2 linked regions of the Drosophila melanogaster genome follow. The protein of the gene in region 1 interacts with the protein of each later gene in a pairwise test. Each region holds a gene or a part of one and is shown on either strand. Other genes may lie near its edges.

Region 1 (7,255 bases):
TGAAGATAATTAATTGGGTCCTGATAAGCGTGAGATGGGGTGTTAGAGCCTCAAATAATTCAGACAGCTGGGATTTAGATAAAACGGCGGCGTGCGGTACACTTGCTTTTTTATTTTATCTCGCATACTTTTTGGTTTACGAAGCAAATGGCAAAACAACAAATGACAATAGTTGTTTTTGCTGTTCTTTGGGTGGAAACCCGCTCGTTAGATGGTGGTGGGCTGGAGGGGGGTGGAGAGACATCGACACCCCGATCCACACTATTGTCGTCCCCCTCGCGCGCATGCGTGGCAGATAAGCTGACGTCTTTGCTTGCGCTGGTGTGTGCGGCTTGAAAAGGTATTTGTCTCCGTGTCTCGAGCCCCCCGGCACCCGCCACCCCCTCGCCTGTTGCTGCAACTTTAGTTTTTGACCGACCGCATTTTTTAAGCTTTCTTTTCCACCTGTTTTCCGTTTTCCTCTCTCACTGTGCGCTGTTTATATTCCACGAGCCTCTCTCAGACACACACACACACGTCGCCTATAAGCCGCACTCACACAGGTGAGGCTTCACAGTAATGTGCGAGCGCGGATATACAGTGGACCCTCAAATAAGTAATCTAATTGAAAATAACATCCTTGAAGCTCTTTAGGCAATTATTTAAATTAATAATCTAACCAATTTCAAATGATTGAACTTAGTATATGTTCCAGATTTCCCGCAATCGAGTATTACTTCACCGACGCATTACTGTATGTACAAAAGTGGGAGCGGCGGCAGGTTTCGTATTGATTTTCAATGCTTTGTTCAATTCATTCACTAATTCACAGACACAGGCTCAATTCGCTGTATGTATTATTCTAATTGACCGCATTTTCCGGTGAAATGTGTGATATTCATATGTATGTGTATACACTCCCTTCGCACACACACGCACAACACACAGGTATCGATATCACGTTAGCATTTCGATATCATCCTCTCACCTAGCAGCACATTCTTTTTCTAATTAGCACGAATAATCCAAGTCTCTGTCACGTTTGCTTGGCATTTCAACTGGCTTTCGGGCTTATTTTCGGGTTTAGCTTCGGTTTTAGGCGTTACAACTGCGATCACTCGAGCATTGTTTCAATTTTAATTCAAACATTAAAAGTAACTGTAGTCCAGCACTTAATCCTCTCTTCTTCTTCCACCTCCTTATTACCTGTCTTCGCCGTTCTCTCCGTCCTTTTCTGGCAGCCGCCGCCTTTGGTCTAGTGCTTTCTCGCTCCTCTTTGATTTTTATTTTTAAGACGGCTTTCTTTCGCTCCGTTCTTTTTGATTCTCACAGACCGTTTTTCTATTTTCTATTTTTCTGTCGCTTGCGGAAAATAAACGTACGAATAACAATAGCCCCGCGACGCCAATGTTGTTGTTGCCGTGGCTTTTCAGATACTGTTTTTGTTGTTATTGTGGAACGCACGCGAGCGTCATCCGCTGTTTAAGCGCGGTTAGTACATGTCAGTCCGGTACCAGAAATCGTACTAACTTGGCTCATTCGCTGGCCTTTTGAGTTGTTTGTATATATTTGTATTAAGCCACTTGTTGAGAGAGTGCGACAGAGAGAGAGAGGGAGAGAAAGAGATCTCTCTCTACACTAGCGGGCACCGCAATAGAATCAAAATTATTGTATAAGTATTTAATTTAATTTTATTACAAGTATAAGGTATTCAGCATGTTATATGCTGAATTAGCATTATGTATCCATTGCATTTTTGGAGATTGGCTTTTAAAAACAACTAGAATTAATACGAGTTCGTCCCCACAAACTTTTCATCCCATTAGTAAACCTTAAGATTTCTATTTACACGTTGCTCAGAAAATCAATTTTTATTGAATAGGTCCTACTACTAATTAAAACTAGGAAAACTATCAGCTGCTCCTCGCCTTCTTGTTGGCCTTGATCAGCTTGGCCTTCAGGGCCTTCACGTCCACCTTGCTGGAGGAGGAGCCATCCTCCTTCTTCCGACTTGAAGCAGCTGACTCCTCCGTGGGCGGGACAAAGTCCTTGTTTCGGCGTTCGTCCTGGCGCTTGGCCGCCTCCTTCTGCTTTTCGGTGCGCTCCTGGTTGCGCTTCGCTTGCTTCTGCTCCTGGTTGAGGAAGTACTCTCCGCTGGCCAGCTGCTTGTCCACCTTGCTCTCCGGCTGGCTGGGCGGGAATGGGGTGTACTCCTTCTTTTGCTTCTTGACCTTCGGCTGCTTGCGTTTGCTAATGTTTTTGTTCTTGAACTTGGGCAGGAATCGGGACCAGTCCTCGTTGGCCAGACGCGGATCCTTCATCAGCTCCCGCTTGATCATCAGAGCCTTAATGTTGTATATGGGGTGCACATTGTTCATGGTCTCCAGGACTATATCCCGCACCTGCTGAAGGCCCTTGTAAGGACCCAAGGCGGAGACTGTGTTTCCTTGAACCAAAACGTAGCAATCGGTGAGCAGTTCAATGGACTTAAGGGTGGCGCCGTTAGGTCCGATCAAACGCTGTCGCCGCTTCACGAACTTCTCCTTCTTGTGCACAAGGTTTCCGATTTTGATGATGTCACACCCAATGTCGTCCTGCAGGACCCGCTTGGCCTGCTCGAAGGGAACACTTCTGGCCATCAGCTTGATCATATCCCGCGCCTTGATGATGATGTAGGGATCCCAGGTCTTGCGACTGGTCTTCACCACCATGCTCCCCTCCATCAAATCTAGCTCCGCCTTCAGGTGGTGCTCCGCCAAGCACTGCTCCACCAGAGGCCAAACCTCCTTAAGATAGCGCTCCCGATATTTGGGAAACAGCGTGGCGAAGGAGCTCTCCTCCACCATCCCATGCGGGTTGTCCTCCTGCCTGAAGGCAGGGATCTTCATGGACCACGCATTGTCCACCGGCTCGGTGCTGATTTTGGTCTCCTCCGCTTCACTTTCGCTCATCGTTACTCGAGTTTTCAGAAGCTAATTCTACAGGTAAGATTCTTGCACGCTTGTTTTGGCCAGGCTGCCAGATCAGCGGTAAATGCGTGTGACCATATCAGGGAAAACTGGTTGGTTAATATTATTGATAGATTACCTATTTAAAGGTTTATTTTTATCTTGATTATAAAATAAATTTTTCGATTGAGAATGTTTTAAAATATATATTCAAATACAATTATATTTGATCGTGTGCCAGATAAATGCCTTAACAAAATTGCGATTCCAATGTAACTCAAATATTAAGGATATTGGGTACATCAATACTAATAAAATATGCAATTCTGAATATCTAAAATATAAGAAATAAGTCAAACAATACATGATTTAGCCCTGACACCTTCACAAATTTTATTTAATTGAAAAAGAGCTCAGGGTATCTATAACTTATGCCATTATATGTGTTAGAATAATTAAGATGAATTAAAATCTTAATTCAATAAATTTCTTTTTATAGCATTCGCTATTATCCACCGTGGATAGTTTTTGAAACTGTTAACGGGAAACTAAATCCATTTATATTAAAAGTGTTTTTAAGTAAATAATTATTGTTTGTACTTTCAAAATAGGGGTATTAATTAGATTACCATATTCCGACTATGCGTTTTGGTATTTTCTAAACAAACTTTTATTTTCAAGCAAGGAAAGGTCACACGATTTTGTGAGCCTAAGCAAAGCGCACGCAGGAGTTTTCGGAGAGATAGAAAAATCGTCGCCAATTAAATATTTAACAAATTGTAAGGCCGATAAACAATTGTACATTTAATATATATTTTCTGGAAGGCTTATTACCGATTTGCTCGACCTAAGTGTGCGGACCTAACCGCATGTCCAATTTTGGGGCGTGGACGTGAACGAAAGCCGATAATTAGGATTAAACAAAGAAAAATCAATATAAAGTGGCCGATATTGTTGAAGTTGCTATTAAAAGACAATTTTCTAGCATTTCCCTTGGCTGCGGATTTAATTACGCCTTTGTGAAAAATTGTGAAAATCAAAATGGCGTCATTGTTGTGTGCGTGGCAAGGCGCTGCCAACCTGCTTTAACAGAAAAACTAAGTAACTTTCACATTTTGCTTGTACCTAAAGTCAAATTTGGGTTGTAACCAAAAACGAGGTAGAGAGACATTTGTGCTACAAACGTTCAGACGAACGCATGTTTTCGTATCAATACCAATACGTCGTAATATATAATTTTCGGTTTTCTGAGAGTGGACAGCCTTCAGGGCTGCACTGGCTTATCGATTACCGATAGCCGCGAGCACACGTCCGAATTTCATCAGTGCCTGAAAAAATCGCAACGCGTAAAACACGTTTTCTGCAGCTCCAAAACAAAAAACAAAACATTCAAGCGGAGGGATTATTGGTTTACTGCCAGTTGAGACAATAAAATAACAGCATTTATCATATTTTGGCGCTGCTGCTGGAATTTATTTAATACTCGTCTTAAAAGTGAATTGTAGGGATATAGCAAAATTTTATCCTGCTAAATTTGTTCTCAGACTGGTGTTTTCTCCTATTTTAGATACTATTGCAGTCCTTGAAAAAGCGAATTCTTATGGAATTACGTAATCAGTGGAAATTTAGTATCTATTAAGACACCCATACCAACAAAAGCGAGTGTCGGTGCACACACGCACGATCCAACACACGCGCACACGTTGCGTATGGTCACACCTACAAGTGTGGAAGAGAGACGGCTATAGGGAGTTAGCGTTGCCAGATAAATTTTCTTCTTTCGCACGACTAACAAAGAAAATGGTGAGTTATATTGGCTAGGAAATGCAACAACAGTTGTGCTTTATTTAATGTTTTTATTCGACAGCCTCGTATAGTTCCACTGCAATTGCTGAGGTGCCTGCGGGTGCTTTTGGACAATAATGGTGGAATTTTAAGTGCAGTGGAGGTGAAACGCATTTCGGGGTAAGTTCACCACTTGTCAGCAGCGACACCTATCGGCGTTTGCTAATATCAAGTTTTTCGCCCACAGTTTGATGGCCAAGTATTCAAAAAAACTCGTCTCGAAATGTGTGTATGTACAAATTCTGAAATCCACAAAGACGGAACTATTGGGCGACTTTATGGCGGTGGGCGGTTGGTCGCTGGTCTACACCTGGTTAAATGATGCCATCAGGGCCATGAACTGGCCGCTGGTACAGGAGATCCTGGAACTGCTGCTCCTTTCTCCCGTGGATGTCAATCGCCTCAAGATAAACTCAGCACCTATTCTGGTCAAGGGGCTGTGCAAGGATGGCGGCAACGAAGGTAAGTTTTCTTTGATAAGTCTTACTCTAGTCGTAGATTAGTGTTTTTGGGTCATGTTTTGGGCTGTCCTTTATGCTTTTAATTACCTAGGGATTACTAATTGGCTTTTCTCGACCCCGTTTTCCAGGTGTACGCATTCTAGCCAAGCGTTTGGTAGAGCAGTGGCTGAAGATTGTGACGGAAAACACAAGCATGACGATCCAAGGTGCTGCGCCACATATTGCAGCCACTACTGCCTCTCAGGTTCCTGCATCCGTTTCTGGAGCTGGCTCCGCTTCAGTTCCGGACTCTGCCTCTTCTTCAGACAGCACTGATAGCGCCGGAGCACCTGTGACGTATACCATCACCTCGGCGGCCAACAGTAGCAATTCCAACAGCATTACCATCAAGTGGAAGCCTTTGTTGGACAACCCAGATGGTGGCGACGAAACGGATTCTGGCACACAATCGAAAGACAACGAGGTGGAACATCTGGAAAAGGGCTCCTCCGCAACCCACTTATTAGCAGATGCTAGTCTGGGGAAAAAGTCCGGGTTAGATGATAGTAGCTCCGCGGCGGAGGTTAAGTCTGGGGAGGACGTGGATAATAAGAAGCATAAGAGCTCAAAGAGCGACAAAAGTAAACGGTCCGAGAAGGAGCGCGAGAAGGATAGAAAGAAGGAAAGTTCAAGTCATAGGTCCTCCTCATCTAGCCATAAGTCGTCCTCTTCCTCGTCATCCTCCTCTTCGAAGAGCAGTTCTTCCAAGAGCTCCTCATCTTCTTCCTCTTCCCATCGCAGTTCTAGCGATAAATACCGCGATAAAGACAAGGCTCGCTCAAGTTCCGGCTCCTCCAGCTCGAGCAAGGACCGGGAGCGCAGCAGCGGTTCGTCTTCTTCTTCCTCGAATAAACACAAGTCCTCAAAGTCCTCCTCGTCGTCGTCGTCGTCGTCGTCGAGCAGCTCTGGTTCTAGTTCGTCCAAAGATCGCAAGTCGTCGTCGTCAACTTCGTCATCATCCTCATCCTCGAGGCAGGACAAGGACAAGGACAACAAGCTAATGCCTCCGCCAGCTGTGGCAGCATCAAATGCTGCAGGTACATCTCCTACAGCTTCGGCAAAGGAGAGCGACGCACAGAAGCCCAGATCGATTCCTATCATGTCCCGCAAGGCCTCCATTTCGATAGAAATTCGCCGGGACACCGAAAAGACGGCCACTGTAAAGACGTACCAGTCCAAATTCAGATCGCATGGCCTGACGGAAGAGGCTCCGCCTCCCCCATCTCGCAAGGGCCTAAAGAAGCCCACATCGTCGGCGGTTGCCGCTTCACCCGCTTTAATGGCAGTCCCGTCTTCACTGAAGCGACCATCGCCGCCACCCAGGGATTTGTCCACCGACAAGAAGGCCAAGATCGACATCAACAACGTCGCGGGACATGTGGAGAGGCCCGGAGCCGCCAAGCTGATAGCGCCCAAAAAGAGTAAGCAACAGATGCTAGAATCACTATTAATGCTCTTCTCTATTTTATTCCACAGCCCAAGAACTTTGGTGGCTTTTGCTTTTGTTTTCGATCGGAGTCGAATGTCGAACTCCGCCGTATTATTTGTTGATCTCCATTCCATTCTCAAGGTGTTTAATTTTGCTTGGGGCGGGTCTTAAATTGTAGAGCAGAAGTGGGGCCTTTTAGTGTGGGTACTTTGCATTATAATGTATCAATCGTGGCGGTGTTATCCCCGGATCGAGTTTGAACTGCAAGCTGCCCGAGTGTGAGTCTATGACCTCAATTCCGGATGACGGCGGATGAAGTTGAATGGAGTTGAATCCCGAAATCTGGGCACTGCGCATGCGCTGAGACCGAACGAAAACGAAATCTGAGGCACAGACGATGCCGCCGCCGCCGTCGTCGTCGTCGTTGTCGCTGCCTGATGTTAAGTATTCAAACCTCAAATCTTGAACGTATTTAGCTTAGCTTAGCTATAAGGTATGTAGATTCACTTGGCGAGCAGCCCACCTTAAAGACTTACAAATAAAATACGGTTTCC
Region 2 (9,236 bases), on another chromosome or scaffold:
CGCTTGGCCATCACCGCTCCCGGTTCATTCCGCAGCTGGTCCAGTTCACTTACATCGTCCTCGATTTGGGGGAAAGCCGTATCACCGCTGCGCTTGGAAGGATCTAATTTGGGAGATGATTATTAATCCAAACGAGCGAGTTAAGTGAACCTATACTATCACATTATTTAAGATTAATTACTATATAAATAAATAAAAGTCCGCAAGGGTATAGAATTTTCGGCATTCTGCTTCTAAATCTTAGTTGCTTCAAATGCAAATTAGCTTTGGAGAGCGGAATAAATAAGGGTCAAGAGATGTGGGGGAGTTTTGGCTACTCACTGTAGATGTAGGGCAACAAAGCCGGATATGCCTGGGTCATGCAGATGCTGGCCAAAAGAAGGATGGCCAACAGATTCCTCGTCGCCATGATGTTCTAGCTGTAAAAGACTGAAAGTGACACAAGACGTAATTCATTTGATTAGAGCCTAAGATTCGATTGCACCACATTCAAAGCACAAAAATATAAAGGAAGAGCAAAAAGGAAGCACAAAAACAAGCACACACACCCACGCAACTAGAGAGCGTGACAGGGGGGAGAAAGCAGGCACACATACATACATATGCAAATCACGCTAAAAATAACACACGAAATCGATAAGACAACAACAAAAGCAGGCACAGTAAGGCAGTGGAGAATAATAAGAACGCCAAGAAGCAGGCAACACAAAATAACACGCCAACATTGATGCGAATGCAAAGCAAACACACACACAAGTGTAAATTGAGTAAATTGGCCGCATGAGCGAATTATCGATGCATTCGGGGAACACTTAAGCACGTTTGGGAATCCATTGAATTAAAAGGCCACCGGAGAATAGCTCAAGTATCTGCACTTGCTACTTTCACACACCTACACACACACAAGCAATGTCAATAAATTCCTATATAAAATTTACTTTATAGAAAGCACACAAAAAGTATTCTGTTTCTTTTATTATAAATCACTTCTTTAAAAATCGACCTGACTTGTAACTTGTTTTATCTCTCAGATTTCTAGTTTACGTGAAAAGGTAGGCAGGTCTGCTGCGTTCGAGGAAAGAAAGTATTCTGAGCCGTATACCGTGGAACACTGCGGCCACAAAAGCTTCATTTTGTCTCTCCTGCCGCAAAAAGCTATCTAAGTTATTCTCATAAAGAGAGAAAATCACTCAAAGCACACATATGGTACTCAACAGCAAAATTCTAACCAGAAACCGTTTTCTGCATCCGAAACTGTTTTCATAATGACATTTTTAAATAGTTCCGTAATATTTGAGAGCTCTGTCGCTACTAGCATAAAAAATTGTTCTTTTGATGAGCAATAAATTGATTAAAAATTGAATAAAACTACTCAGAACAATGTTAAAAATAAGAATAAATAGCTTCGACAGTCCTAACAGTCTTGAACAGTTGTATGTGAAATATTCGTGGATCAACATGTTGTTCGGACTTATAGGATCATTTTTGCTTATGCTGCAAATAATTCTTGTGCCTTATTCAAATGGTGCAGGTAACTTTCAGCATGCATAAACTTTGTACGCAATTTAAAATCTATCCTTCCTTCAGGGTGTCAATTTGATACGGAATGCGTGAATCTGGATAAGTGTCCCAGGACCAGAGCAGTTATGAACTCATCCAGGAAAAATATAATAGGTCTTAGAAGATGCGGCACTAATAAAGTGTGCTGCCCCAAGTGGGAAACGTATCTGCCACACGATACTTGTGGACAATCAAGAAGAAAACCTACGAAGGGCAAAATACCGGCGCTGAATGAGTTTCCCTGGATGGCCATGCTGTTATATGGAAATAAAAACAATTTGTCCCAGAAGCTGGTACCAAAATGTGGTGGATCCCTAATAAACAACTGGTACGTCCTGACCGCAGCGCACTGCGTGGAGTATCCATTTATGGACTATCCGTATGCCCTCAAAACAGTGAGACTGGGCGAACATAACACGTCCACAAATCCCGATCGGGCTATTGTGAATGGAAGAAGACAGTACGCTCCTCTTTATATGGAAATTGAAGTGGACCAAATTATTACGCATGAACAATTCAACCGGGGAAGGCGGCTGATAAACGACATAGCACTCGTGCGTCTTAAGTTTCCTGTGCGGTGAGTAATGATTCTCCTCTGGTCGAAATAGAAGTAGGATATGAATTGAAATAATATATCTTTATATCTTCCTATAGCTATACGAGAGCCATCCAACCTATTTGCCTTCCAAGAGCCCAAAAATTGGCCGCGCATAAGCGAAAGTTTCAAGCATCCGGCTGGCCAGACATGGGACAAGGAATTGCAAGTGAGGTACTCTTGCGCAGCTTCATCGCGGAACGGCATCCAGATGTGTGCAAATCAAATTATGACTTTAATTTGGGCAGTCAGATATGTGCTGGTGGTCTGGATGGGAATGACACCAGTCCCGGCGATTCCGGGGGACCCTTAATGGAGACCGTGATACGTGGAAAGGTCACACTCACTTATGCAGCCGGCATAATCTCCTACGGACAGAAGCCCTGCGTACTTAAAACTTGCAAGCCAGCATTTTACACAAAAACTTCATACTTTTTTGAATGGATAAAATCGAAATTGCAAAGTCCATTTATCGACAGCGACAGCAAATCTCGTACTAGAAAATAAGCAATTTATTTAATTCCTACATTTTATTGCCTCAAAAACTAGTTTAACTGCATCCAGGAAAAGGTTCGGCGCGATTTTTGCGCAGTACGAACTGAATTTTTCGGTTCATGTCCTCGTTGTAAATGGCCTTGCATTTCTCGAAGTTGATGCGACGACGAACCTATACAATAGTTTAATACAGTAAATAATAATAAATAGTTAAGTTATTTAAAGTCGAACCTGATACGGCTTTTCGTAGAATCGCGTGCGGCGAAATTGGTCGAGCAGTTCTTCTTTTCCCAAGACGCGATTTAACAGACGACACGCCTCCTCCACATTATTGTTTTGCACCAGAACGGTGCGGGCCAGAAACTGCACGTGTCTCATTTCGGATAAGTAGTTTTATTTTATAAAGTTTTCCAAATGTTTATTAAATAATCGGCTTTCAAAACAGTGTGACCATTTACTGTACTGCTAAACAGCTGATGAATATCACTAACCAGGGCTAACGATTGCTAATAAGAATCGTGGACTCAGAAGGAGTACTTTGAGAACCACTCAACTTAATAAATAAGAAAAATATTTATTCAACACAGTATTTATTAATGCATTGCCAAAATTATTTCTGTAATGCCCATCACACTTAAGAAATACATATTATATCCCATCAAATTATCAAAAATTGCTAATCACCTGAAAATGACTAAAATACCAGTTTTCGGACCTTTGCGGTGCGAGGCAACCCTGATGTTGTGGTTTTTCTTGCCGTTTGCCGCTCTGGTCACACTGGTTTCCAGTTTTCTTCCTAGCGTGGCGGCCATAGTAAGCTGTTGAAAAGTATTCGACGTAAATTAAATTTGTTGTAAAAGTGAAACTTCCAGGAATCGGGCTGCGAAAGTTACTATTTGCTTTAGGCACGACACGACACGAAAAAAGGTGAGCTGGGGCGGCTCTGGGCTAATTAAGATTACCACCTGATTTTGCACATTTCGTCTCGCATTGTGCGGTTTGCCAATGTGTGTGTCTACTTGGTAGACACTTCCTTTGCGCTTGGTTTTCTCATCTCTGTCGTTAAGTAATCATCGATAATTGTTTTTTGTCAGAGAATTTGCCTTCGATTTTTGGCATTAGATTTGCAAAATCGATGGCCATCTAGCTTTTTTTCTCTTCTTTGTTCAATCGAATTCTTCTGACGCAGCGTCTTGCGCGGCACATGTTGGTACGCATACAAGCGCAAAGTCTGGTGCATGTGTGTGCTAGGCACTGGTGAAAATATAATAATTGTATCTATTGATTTGCCTGCTAAATCGAAGGCTGCTTCTAGAATTCATTTCCATTCTTATTTTCGACTCTGCCCTTTCTCCTTTCATTTGTTCCCCTTTTCGTTCTTTTACGGTTTTTTCATTATTACCCTCTCCGCTTTGCAGTCGCCGTTCGCAAAACCAGGGCTGCAATGCGCTGACGAAAACTTCTAGAAACTGTGTGTATGTGTGCGTGCGAAAGAGAAGCGGTTGTTGTCGAAAGGGGGAAAGAGAGCGTCAGCTGCTCGCCGTATTGAAATACGACAATTGTTCTAGAAAATCGACTAGAAAACGTCGCAGTTATTTTCGCGAACACATGGCGGCGTAACGACCTTGAATCCCGGGCTCTAGCTTCCGGCAATGCCTACTATTTTCCGTTGCCCCCCAAATTACACGGAAAAAAATGGGTGATGGCATCAAGTCACAGCTGTAGAAATCAATAAACAAGAAAGGGTCATATGATCGAGTGGTTTCTGGATTTTGAAAAATGTATTTCTACAAAAAAAAATGGGTAACAAAATATAGGTTACTGATTTTTGTTTACAATACTAGTTAGAGAGGAATCAGCCCTTTGAACTATGAAATGTCATTAGATATAAAACTGACAATAACTTCCATCGGGAACCTAGCTGCCATAGAAACAGCACCACAAAATAAATTTTTTTTTTTCATTTTTTATAAGAACTGGCATCCAAATCGGTTGAAACTTCAAAAATTTTCGGTATTACACAACTTCATAATTTCTACCTATATATGCCTGGAGCATACACAAATCTGTTCCCCAATCTGTTATTTACAAGCTCCCAGATAGTAATTACGCACTACTTCGTCTGTTCACAGTAAACAGCAAACAAAATGGTTAAGGAGACTGGATATTATGATATACTTGGCGTGAAGCCTAATGCCACGCCCGACGAGCTGAAGAAGGCTTACCGCAAGCTGGCCCTCAAGTACCATCCGGACAAGAACCCCAACGAGGGCGAGAAATTCAAGGCCATTTCGCAGGCTTACGAAGTGCTGTCCGATGCGGACAAGCGACAGGTGTACGACGAAGGCGGCGAGGCGGCCATCAAGAAGGGCGGCGCAGATTCCGGTGACTTCCGCAATCCTATGGACTTCTTTGAGAAGTTCTTTGGCGCTGGATTCGGAGGTAGTGGCGGTGGACGCAGGCGCGAGAGGCGTGGCAAGGACGTGGTGCACCAGATGTCCGTACAGCTGGAGGAGCTGTACAATGGAGCGACCCGCAAGCTGCAGCTCCAGAAGAATGTGATCTGCGACAAGTGCGAGGGTCGCGGCGGCAAGAAGGGCAGCATTGAGAAGTGCTTGCAGTGCCGTGGTAACGGTGTGGAGACACGGGTTCAGCAGATCGCCCCCGGCATCATGCAGCACATCGAGCAGGTGTGCCGCAAGTGTTCGGGAACTGGCGAGACCATTCAGGAGAAGGACCGCTGCAAGAACTGCAGTGGCCGCAAAACGGTGCGGGAACGCAAGGTATTGGAAGTGCACATTGAGAAGGGAATGCGGGATGGCCAGAAGATCGTGTTCACGGGAGAGGGCGATCATGAGCCGGAATCTCAGCCGGGCGATATTATTATTCTTTTGGACGAGAAGGAGCACTCCACATTCGCGCACGCCGGACAGGATTTAATGATGAAGATGCCGTTGCAACTTGTCGAAGCGCTCTGCGGATTCCAGCGAATCGTTAAAACGCTCGATGATCGCGATCTGATTGTGTCCACACAGCCCGGCGAGGTTATCAGGCATGAGATGACCAAGTGTATTGCCGAGGAGGGTATGCCCATTTTCAAGAACCCCATGGAGAAGGGCACGTTGATCATCCAGTTCGAGGTGATCTTCCCGGAGGTGATCAATCCGTCGGTGGTGCCCACGCTTAAACAGTGCCTACCCCCGGCGCCGGAGGTTGACATTCCAATCGATGCAGAGCAGACGGTTTTGGTGAGTATTTCAGTAGTAGTTTATATCACGATATATAAATAATATATTATTTATAATTAATTTATTTATCGATTTGCTTATCTTTCGCAGGAGGACTTTGATCCCAAGCAACGTCGCCAGCAACACCAGCGCATGGCCTACGATGAGGACGATGGCGGCTATCAGGATGGCCCACGCGTCCAGCAGTGCACATCGAGTTAAGCGCCCCCGCTGCGTGTTGCATCCCCGGACACACAGCCCTAATAATACCCCAACCAACAAGCCGTAATAATATGTAAACCAGCTCCCGGAACACTGTAATTGCGCTTGCAAGTGCCGAAGAACTCCCAAAAGCACCTTAAAACACCATCCAATTCACACTAGGAGGCCCAACCAATCGAGAGATCTAAAGTTATTTCATGCAAGCTACGATATTTAGGTATAAATCAAAGAAACTTATCAGATATATGCACTATGTCTATAACGCGTGGTTGTTTGTAAACCAACATTTTTCTTTATGTTTATGTTGCGTTGGATTGTCAAAGAATCGAAAACGGAAACTGAAACTAAACTAAACTGAAATTGAAATTAGCCGCCACTAGAACCGTATCTAAAGTCCGCGCCAGCGAACACGTCTAGGAACAAGTTTAAGTTATTTAATTCCAGCATAAATAAAAGCGTTAGTTTAAACGGATATAACAAATAAATAATTAATACACAATTTCAACCCAAATGCTGTATATTCTTCTTCCCATAGTTCCAGTATCACTTGCCTTCCTCCGGCTATCTATTGATTCCATAATCGCTGCATAGTCACCCGCAGGTGTGAATCATTCGAATAATGCCAATTGGAGATATCAGGCATATGGCAGTAGTTTCGTCTTGAGTACATTATTTAAAATGCTATCTGGGATAAGTAAAAGATAAAAAGAAAGATAAGGATAGTTTGGGATATATATGGTAATGCCATTAAATCGTTAAGGATATAATGAGGGATTTTGTAGTTGTTGAGGATTATAAAGCATCCTATAAATGAATCTGCGGACCTGCCTGTCGCAAGGAATAACATCAAAAGCAAATTCAAAATGTAAAATGTTTTGTAAATTTATTTACAAAATTTCAAAATGAACTACAACATAATCTGGTGGAAACTAGTGCGCAAAGTTTCGGAGAGCGGCCACAACTCCAGTTCCATAGATGAGCTTCTCCTCCACACGCTGCCAAGCCTCCTGCTGCACCTGGGACACAGTGCGCAGCTCCTTTACCAAATCCGGGAACTCCGTCAACCCGAGACCGTGGGATCGCAAGAAGACGCTTAGATACGATTGAGCCAGCTCAAAGTTCAGATTGGTTCCAAACATGAACTTAACGAGTTTGAGGAACTGCAGCATGGCAAGGAGTGTTCCTCCAGCCTCCGGGTGCAGAGATTTGATCTCAAAGTCAACCATCGATGGTCCTAGTTGGGTCAAGTGCGCCACAGCCGATGCGAAGTCCAGGGAGTCAGCAGTTTCCTCCAGCAGCTGGCCAAAGGCAGTAAGATTGTTGAGAGTAGAAGCCTTCCGAATCCGGGATTCATCCTCCTCCTTCTGACCGTTCTCCACATCGAAGCGCAGTTCCAGTCCCGAAACCGTGGGCAGGAAGAATGGGGCCTGTTTGGGAGCTTTTGGTGGTGCCTTGGGCTTGTTACGTTGCTTGATTAGCTCCAAATCCAATAGATTCTGCCAACGGGATGCAGCCAACCCGGATAGCGTTATCAGTTCCTCGGACAGCTGCGTTGGAGTTTCGTACTTGGTGTCAACTAGCTCGCCGAGTTTTGACTCGTCCTCTTCGTCGATCTCTAGCTCCTTCATGCCATCTTCCAGTTCCATGGCATCGCACACATTCGTGGGCAATCCCACGTACGGAGCCGGCTCCAAAGGATCGATGGAGCGCAGGGAAATCTGATTAAACAGCGTCTTGTTGGCCCACAGGTAAATGCCCAAAAGTCCAACATGTGCGGTGGCCAGAAAGTCGCCATTAGGCGACATACTTAACGATACGCAAGGCGCCTCGACGCGGAAGTGATCCACCATGTAGGAGGAAGGTATGTCCCACACCTTGATCGTGGAGTCCATGGCGGCGGTGATCAGCCAGCGGCTATCCGGACTGAAAGTGAGGTCATTCAGCTTGGCTGTGTGACCGACGAACTTGCGAACAATGACCCTCGTGTGCATGTCTACGACAAAAATCTTGAATGTTTCCAGACCAATGGCCAGCATGGAGCTCTCTCGGTGCTGTCGAATCAGGGCGATTCCATCTGCCAGGCGTAGAGTCGCTAAGGGCTTGTCAACTGAAGGATGGTATGATTTTACAAATGTTTTATTAACTTATGTTGTAGGCAATTCCTTACCCTTTCCTTTGAATGACCAGAACTTGAGCAAGCCTTCCGAACAGCCAGAGATGACGGTTTGGTTAAGATTGTCGCTGGCCAAGCCGCGTACTGCCATCTTGTGGGCTGGAGAGCCATAGGTAGCCCGATGGAGTCCAGACTGGATATTAAAGCGCTCAATGTCGCCACTGCTATAGCCAATGATCACAAAGTTGCCACAGTGCGTCAGCACAATGCATGTGGTCTCGTTCTGGAAGTTGGTGCGGTTGCTGTTTTGGAACTGTTTCGGAACCAGGCGGTGCTCGCCCATACGGTTCTTGCCAAACGACCAGGTTGTCGTCTGAATAACGCCCGCATGGATGGCAGCGATGTTATCCCACTCCTTTTCGCGAGCCGTATCCGATGTGAACTCCAGTATGGGTGGCATTCCAAACTTATCGTGCTCAAAGCGATCTGCAAAGAAGAGTTGCCTATTAAAAATATTTTAAAGCGAGCAATAAAAGCCAAAACACTTACTCTTCTTCTTTGTGGCTTTTGGATTGTAGGTAGCCCTGCCCATGCTCTTGTTCAGCGATTCGGAAATGGTGGAGAAGACTCTCATGGTGCTGTCCTCGCCCGAAGAGAGAATGGATACGCCCGAGCTGCCGTGGTAGCGAATACAAAACGGCGGCTTTGTGTGTCCCTCGCGGATCCTCAGCTGTCTGGCACCACCATCTGGCATATCGAAAACAAACATCCTCATTGAATTGTCTGGTGAAGTGGTGAAGACCACGGGCTCGCTGGGCAGACAAATGGCCGTGGTCACCGACTCCTCGTGCGCTTGCAGCTGACCGGCTAACTTGCGCTCCTCCAGGTTCCAGAAGGCCATGTAACCATTGCTGCAGGCGGACACAAGGATTGGTGGGCCGTCGGTACGGAAGGAAAGGTTGGTGACCTGACCCCAATCCTGCTGGAAGCTCATAAGCACCTCGTCGAACTTAAGGTTAAGCAA

Evidence for each region. Proteins that work in one complex are often made in the same cells at the same time.
Region 2: the proteins of dbe (region 1) and Droj2 interact in a two-hybrid assay, tested with the Drosophila melanogaster proteins (one large-scale study listed by BioGRID).

What each region holds. Positions count from the first base shown.
Region 1 is NT_033779.5:866,847-874,101, forward strand, and holds dbe (dribble), read right to left. Parts: upstream 3,012-7,255; 5' UTR 2,931-3,011; coding exon 1,893-2,930; 3' UTR 1,827-1,892; downstream 1-1,826. Other genes in the region: PNUTS (phosphatase 1 nuclear targeting subunit), read left to right, coding at 4,728-4,730, 4,795-4,892, 4,960-5,234, 5,362-6,693. UniProt on the Drosophila melanogaster protein: Required for 40S ribosome biogenesis. Involved in nucleolar processing of pre-18S ribosomal RNA and ribosome assembly. Binds to RNA.
Region 2 is NT_033777.3:13,378,682-13,387,917, forward strand, and holds Droj2 (DnaJ-like-2), read left to right. Parts: upstream 1-3,424; 5' UTR 3,425-3,463; exon of another isoform or gene 3,464-3,522; 5' UTR 3,523-3,577; intron 3,578-4,140; exon of another isoform or gene 4,141-4,431; intron 4,432-4,583; exon of another isoform or gene 4,584-4,782; 5' UTR 4,783-4,797; coding exon 4,798-5,898; intron 5,899-5,988; coding exon 5,989-6,099; 3' UTR 6,100-6,602; downstream 6,603-9,236. Other genes in the region: CG9813 (uncharacterized protein), read right to left, coding at 1-103, 322-409; CG8870 (uncharacterized protein), read left to right, coding at 1,459-1,531, 1,588-2,137, 2,215-2,662; mRpS21 (mitochondrial ribosomal protein S21), read right to left, coding at 2,706-2,822, 2,882-3,028; CG9799 (uncharacterized protein), read right to left, coding at 7,029-8,206, 8,267-8,698, 8,762-9,236.